Danio rerio: one gene and its partner. Each later gene encodes a partner of the first gene's protein in a complex. Links are inferred from orthologs where the notes say so. Each region holds a gene or a part of one and is shown on either strand. Other genes may lie near its edges. The genes, in order: gpaa1 and pigs.

The links.
Region 2: gpaa1 (region 1) and pigs share a complex: the UniProt entries of both Homo sapiens proteins name them as parts of the GPI-anchor transamidase complex. The link is inferred for Danio rerio from reciprocal best matches to the Homo sapiens genes GPAA1 and PIGS.

What each region holds. Positions count from the first base shown.
Region 1 is NC_133177.1:1,638,523-1,642,351, reverse strand, and holds part of gpaa1 (glycosylphosphatidylinositol anchor attachment 1 protein), read left to right. Parts: intron 1-754; coding exon 755-902; intron 903-1,449; coding exon 1,450-1,551; intron 1,552-2,275; coding exon 2,276-2,472; intron 2,473-3,829. UniProt on the Homo sapiens protein: Component of the glycosylphosphatidylinositol-anchor (GPI-anchor) transamidase (GPI-T) complex that catalyzes the formation of the linkage between a proprotein and a GPI-anchor and participates in GPI anchored protein biosynthesis. Binds GPI-anchor.
Region 2 is NC_133196.1:42,872,090-42,875,918, reverse strand, and holds part of pigs (GPI transamidase component PIG-S), read left to right. Parts: intron 1-3,046; coding exon 3,047-3,138; intron 3,139-3,211; coding exon 3,212-3,449; intron 3,450-3,829. UniProt on the Homo sapiens protein: Component of the glycosylphosphatidylinositol-anchor (GPI-anchor) transamidase (GPI-T) complex that catalyzes the formation of the linkage between a proprotein and a GPI-anchor and participates in GPI anchored protein biosynthesis.

The DNA of each region.
Region 1 (3,829 bases):
TGTCATTATTTATTTATTTTATTACTTTATTTTTATTTTATTTATTTTATTACTTTACTTTTTATTTTATTACTTTTTAAATTTACTTTATTTTATTCTTTATTTTTTGTGTCATTATTTATTTATTTTATTACTTTATTTTATTTAATATTTTAATCATTTTATAATCCTTTATTATCTTATTTTATTAATTGAATTACTTTAACTTACATTATTTTATTCTTTTTTATTTAATTACTTTATTTAATTACTTCATTTATTTTCTTTATTTTTCTTTCATTATTTATTTTATTACTTTATTTGTTTTATTTATTTATTTAATTTTTTTATTAGTATTTATACTTAATTCTTATTCTATAGTATTTAATTTTTTATTAATATTTTTACTATTAAATATGTAACTTAGCAAGAGAAAAAAAATAATGCAGCAATATAAAAAATGCCTGTTCGTTCTTTTTCAGATATCTTATGATTGATATAAAAGAAAATTCACTCCTGATTGACTCAAACTGATGGATGTTGCTTATCTGTAGCACAACCACATGTCTTTTTTTAATTATTATATAATTTTTTCATTCCTTAATTAAAAAGTCTATAGGCTGGTTAGAAAAAAGGTGCAAAAAGAAAAAAAATGTTACCTCTAAAACTAATAATGTGGGCATTTAACAAAGACAAGTCCACTTTAATAAAATAAATAAATAAATAAAATACTAAAACTGAAGTACGCTTGAAGCAAATGTGCTGTTTTCCTCAGATGGTTCGGGGCACAAATGTTTATGGGATTTTGCGAGCGCCTCGAGCTCCTCGGACAGAAGCGCTCGTGATCAGCGCCCCCTGCACTCCTGGAGGTACCAACAATCAGGCCGTTGGAATCCTGCTGGGCCTGGCACAATACTTCAGGAGTAAGACTCTTTCTGATTCTGCAATATTACATTGACAAACTCATTTCACTTCTTTTTGCTTTGTAACCAACTTGATTTTGGGCACGGATGCAGGTTGTGTATGAGTGGATGTGTGTTTTGTGTTTTTACTTAATTTTGTTTTAATTTTGGTGTTTTGAATTGATGTATGAACGTCATTTCTGCAATAATTCAGTCTGTATTCAGTCTATATTCAGTCTTGTATTGCTATGCAGGAAATAAATGAACCCTAAAACATTTTTGCTTGTAAAGTTTTGGTTTGGGAAACTTTAGTTTTATTTTAATTCTTTTAAAAATGTTTTCCAATGTTTGTTTTATGGAAATATTTTTTTCAACACATTTCTAAACTTAATAGTTTTAATAATTAATTTCTGATACTAGTATTTAGCTTAAAGTGACATTTGAAGGCTTCTCTGGGTTAATTAGGCTAACTTTAGATTGTATTGCGCATATTATACAGTGTATTGTGCATCCCTATGGCATCTATTGTAATCAGAATGAGATTTATTTTATATTTATTTCCCCAAAGATCAGGTTTACTGGGCCAAAGACATCATCTTTCTGGTGAATGAGCACGATCTGATCGGCATGCAGGCCTGGCTGGAGGGATACCACCACACTAACATTACAGGTGCGTACACATTTACATCCAAGCCCTCATTTTAAAGAGGATCTGCTATGCCTTTTATACAAGATGTGAAATAAGTCTCTGATAAAGTGTGTGTGTGAGGTTTCAGCTCAAAATAGCACACACACATTGTTATCTACCTCTCTGAAACTGACCCTTTTAGGCTTTGATCCTAACTTTGGCGTTTTGGTGACTGTCACTTTAAATGCAAATGAGCACTTTTGAGAAGAGGGCGGAGCTTCAGCATAGTGGCAGATGTAAAACAGCACTAGTGTTGTCAGTGCTGGTCAGGTGTGCATGTGTGCTTCATGCTTCTGTCAGTCCATGTCGCTCCTGTCGCTGCTTCATCTAAAACTCCACATCTGTAATCCTCTTAGTCTATGCTGACGTGATCTTCAGCAGCTCAAACACCGCTAACGGATAGACGGCTGCTTCTCACTCAGGGCTGCTGTTTATGCTGATGAGGGAGAGATGGGCTCTAGTGGGCGGGGCTTTCCCCCTCTGATGACACGTACAAAGGGAGAATGTCAATCAAAGTGTTTCTGCAGACTGATTTCATCAAGTCTGATTATTAAATATAGAATTAATTCATGTTTACAATTAGAAGCTGGGGAGATTCACACACTGCTGACACACAAACAGTTATTTTAGCATAATAGGTCTCCTTTAACAAGTTTTAGTCCCTGACATTCCTTGTTGTTAATGCTTGGGTCTCTCTGTGTTTCAGGAATGGAGTACTCTCCTCTGCAGGGTCGTGCTGGTTCGATTCAGGCTGCGCTGTCATTGGAGCTCAGCAGTGATGTCATCACCAGCCTGGATTTGGTTTTAGAGGGACTCAATGGTCAGCTGCCCAATCTGGACCTGGCCAATCTCTTCTATGCCTTCTGTCAGAAGCTCAACGTTCTGTGCACCATTCAGGGAAAGGTAGGACGTGATTCAAAGGGACACAATGCACTCTCCATAAATAATCACGTTATTTTTCTTTAGTTCACAGATATAAAACACAAACACAACTCTCCCTCAAGCGGTTTCAAAACTTTACAAGTTTTTTTTATTTGTTGAACACAAAAAGAAGATATTTTGAAGAATGCTGAAAACCTGTAACCATTCGCTTCCATAGTAGGAAAAAAAAAACATGCACTATTAAATTCAATAATTACAGGTTTTCAACATTCTTCAAAATATCTTCTTTTGTGTTGAACAGAAGAAAGAAACTCATAAAAGTGTGTAAATAATTTTTTTTTTGGGTGAACTATCCCTTTATTATGGAGTACTTCTCAGAACATGATTGATTTGCAATAGTGAGAGTTCATCTGAGCCGCTGCTCTCCAGTGTGTATCTTTTAAAGGTAAATGGTCTGAAATAGGGCTGGGCGGTATATCGAGTTCTGGGGATATATCGATATGATTCCCCAACGCGATGCAGGATAATCCAAACAGCTGAAAACGGCTAGAATTCTGCTAGAACCATACACAAACGCTGAAAACAAGTCTCAATGTACTTACACACAGCTGGTCTCATTGCTAAAATGCTTCTCCTACTAACTGAACCTACTTTGCTCCTTATATACTCTTTACTTGGCGCTTGGACACGCCTCGAGAGTAAAAACAACCGAAACTGGGGGGCGCGAAACGATACACAAGTTCTTACAGTAACCAAGGAAACAGTGAGTAAACTTAAACTAAAAAGTTTAAGTGTCCTAGAACCACACACAAACACTGGAAACAGGTCTAAATGTCCTCGGGGGGGCGCGAAACCATCACAAACAACTGAAAACCGTTAAAAATACTGCTAGAACCACACACAAACAGCTGAAAACAAATCTAAATGTACTTACACACTGCTGGTCTCATGCTAAAATGCTTCTCCTGAACAAATGAGTGCATGCGCAAATGAATGATTCACTTCATGATACAAAAGATTTGTTCAAAATGAACGATTCGTTCAAGAACGACCCATCACTGACGCGACATGGAGGAACATGCAGTCCCGGTGTTGTATCGAAATCTGACTCCCCGGACAAATCTGACTCCTCTTTCTTCCGCAACTGACAGCAAGAACGAACACAGAAGCCTCGTCAAATCGACAAGCAGCACCCGAATGTGTTCAAATTAATTAAAAATGCCAAAATGGTACGAATTTATTTAATTTATTATTTATTATTTATTTAACATTTAACTGGAAGACGTGATTTGTAAAATAAAATAAAAATAAAAAGTAAAATAAAAAAACATGCATTTGTCTACCAAACATTTCTTTTTTTCAATTTTAATATCTCGCT
Region 2 (3,829 bases), on another chromosome or scaffold:
ATTAACAACAAATTTAAAAAATTGAGTGGGAGAGTTTAGCTGATGCGGTTAACACAGTTGGGTCTGAACATCGCACTGTGTGGATTAAAAAAGAGATAGTGAGATGTATACTGAAGGTGCAAAATGTTGTAGTACCATTAACAGTGTGAGTGGCGCAGCTAGTAAAACGCATGTCATCATGTTTTGACACGTCCGAGCTTGAACTCGGTTCGAACCCAGCGTCTGCTGAACTCATTCTTTTTTTCCTCCCGCTACATATCAGATTTTGCCTACTATTAATCACGAGGAAGACAAGTAGGAATCATTAATAAGTCTGTGCATAATATTTTATTTGCACATTTATTGAATGGAAATGTTTCTGATTCACGTATGCAAATTCATCTTCAGATAGTGTCTTTATAGCAATGTGCGTGCAGTAGATCGCTCCGATTACATTGGGGAAAACAGACAATCGCTGCAAATTGCGCTTTAATGTTTGGCTGGTCAAATGTATGGTATGGAAACCTTATATACCTGCTAGATGAACCCGCCTCATACAGCTGCCATTGCAAGTCTCAGACACTTTGTAGAGAGCAATTTAACACAATTGCCTCTAGGAGTCGCCAATGGAAATAAAACAGACACACACAAAAAATGTGCGTACGCCAGCCATGAAGTTGGCGTGGAGCTGCGCAAATTCTCACGTTCATTTCATCGTTAGTAAATCCAAACGTGAGCGATTCTGAGCGTGAAACCTGGCGCACGCAAAGTTTTTGTGCGTATGCAGCGTTGATACATGAGGCCCCAGGTGTAGTTGTTGGTATGGAGAAAGCAGTCAGTGAAAGAAATCCAACAGAGAATCCAGTTCAGAGATGGATCCACAGCAGCCACAAGTCAAAATAGGCAGTGAAAAGGAGGACAGATCAAAGCTTGACACAACCTGACTATACAAATGAGCACCGATGACTTATTTAGTAAGAAGTAAAGCAATACTCAAGTCTTTTCGGTTGTTGTTGAATGAGACTCTGAACGGTCTGTTGAATTTTAAATTGATTCGTTGATGCTGAGTAAATGTTGTACTGTGGTCGTCCACGCCGCCTAAGCACAACCTAAAGTAGCAGCTGTTTAAATGACAACATTATGACACTGTTGTGACAACCTTCAGCTACAACATAGATCCTCAACCTTTTTACAAGGTTGGTACACAACGTTGCAGGAAGGTTGTTATGTCGAGGCAATGTTGTGTGTTTGTTGGGATAACTGGCAAAGGCCAGAACATCTGATCTTTTTCTTCCTTCAAATAGTACATGGTGTCTAAAAGCTACTGTAAAACACTTGGTGGTTTCAAGAGTTCACACTTAGATAATGCTTGACTATTTAAGCAAGTTTGGCATGCTGTCCCGGGAGAGAACCCTGAGCTCGGTGATAGATGAGCCCAATGCTCCCGCCTGGTCAATAAGCATTAGGAGGGATATGAGATCAGGTAGTTCTCGATAGTTTCCTTAAATAGACCGCTAGCTGCGCTAGTTTGTCGTAAGTGCTTGTGACTTTAACTTTTGTTGCATGGTTTTTGAGTGTGGGAGAAAACCGGAGTACCTAGGGAAAAACCCACGCGAACACGGGGAGAACATGCAAACTCTGCACAGAGAGTATCGGTTGGCTCAGCTAGAACCAACAACCTCCTTACTGTGGGGCAAAAGTGCTAGCCACCGAGCCACCATGTCGCCCGAACTGAGGAGGAGGGAGAAGGGATGGATGGGGGGGTTTTCAAAACGAAGATGAGAAATGAATTTAGGCTGGATATTTATATTGAATTTAGAGTGATCCGATTGGCTAGTTAGTGATTAGTGATAGTGATCAGCTGTAGTCGATCCTATCTCGTGCTCCTCTCGAAATTAGTTTACAAAACTTCACTTTGAAGGTTTCCAAAGAAATAAGATCCAAAGTCTTGCTAATAAAGGGATAAAGGCAAGTACCTCAAACTGTTTACATGTAAATCAGCTCCGGTTCTTGATGACACCAAAAATTGTAGTGGTGGGACAGATATTTACTTTATTTTGAAACCATGTCTAAAAGGTTCCAAACCAATTATTTCAATGGTTTTGTAGTTCTAGGCAGGAAAACATGTCTTAAATTGACTTAAATTACAGGACGACTTGTCATCCACAATAGGATAAAACCTATAGAGCAGAGTTTTGGAGTTATAGACCCTATGCAGTATTTTAAACTGTATGAGTGAAAGCCAAGCACATATTAAACTTGAATTACAGTTTGTCAACAGCATTTGCCTACCATTCATTCATTCATTCATTTTCTTGTCGCCTTAGTCCCTTTATTAATCCGGGGTCATCACAGGGGAATGAACCGCCAACTTATCCAGCAAATTTTTACGCAGCGGATTCCCTTCCAGCCGCAATCCATCTCAGGGAAACATCCACACACACATTCACACACACACTCATACACTATGGACAATTTAGCCTACCCAATTCACCTGTACCGCATGTCTTTGGACTGTGGGGGAAACCGTAGCACCTGGAGGAAACCCACACGAACGCAGGGAGAACATGCAAACTCCACACAGAAACGCCAACTGAGCCGAGGCTCAAACCTGTGACCCAGCGACCTTCTTGCTGTGAGGCAACAGTACTACCTACTGCGCACTACCTACTGCTTCGCCCATTTGCCTACCAGTAAAGCTCAAACTCTTCACCTACCTCAAGTTCCCAGGCACTTTTAATTTAGGCAATAGTATGATCCTCCAAATCAGTAAGCTGACAATAAGTTCTTGACTTCAGTAATTTTTTAAAGATAAATTTAGTTGTCTAATGGGATAGTTATGTTGTCTCGCCATAAAACATTTTATATTAGAATGTGAAATTTGAAAAACTTCTAGACAAGATTTTCAGATGAATACGATTTTATTTATTTAACATATTCTTTTACTGAAATATGCAGTTGTTATTGAAGTTATAATTAGGTAATATGTTTTATCTAAATCAATCTTGCCATGAAACTTCCATAAGTTGCTGATGTGAAAATTAACAAGCTCAATTTCCCTCCACAGAGGCTGATTTATCCTTGCACACTCTGACCGAGAGTTCCTGTGGGTCTGTGGTTGTGTATGTGATCCCCGAGTCCTCCGTTCTTCTTCCAGAGGTGAGCTTCAGAATATATTTCTATTTCCTCCAAACGCATACTGAAACCCCTACTGAAGGTCATGTACTTCCAGGATGTGAAAGTGTACGTTGGACAGCGGCGCACAGCTCTTCTGCGTTCCCCTCCTTTCAAAAGTTCTTGGAGTCTGAATGAAGTCATCTCCAATCTAAACCCAAGGGTGGAGCAGATAGCGAGCACCATGTCTTTCAGTCATCAAGATATTACAGCAGCTCTGAGCGACCGAGTCCGAATGACCAAAGTGACCAAGGAGAGTATGGCAGACAGCATGAGGGCTATCAAATCTAGTCCAGGTGATTTTATAATGATTTTATTTGTTTGGATATTAGTGTCAGTACGTTAGTTTTAAGGATATCTATAGACTAGTGTGCTACAAAACAGTAGGGCTGACGATACTAGAAAAATTACACATTGTGATTGTGATTTTTTTTTTTTTTTTTTGCAATACATATTGCGATATGAACACATTTTCACTAGATGAGTTGAATAAATGTTTGTAAAGAATCTATAATTATAGATTAATTGGGAAGATTCTGTAGGGGAGTGCATAAAATAAAATTCAAGTTTATTTGTATATCACTTGATCACAATAAGGCCGTACTCACACTAGGTACAGTTGCCTCGAACCGGGCCTCCCGTCCCCCCTCCCGTCTCCCCCGATGGCCCGCGGTCA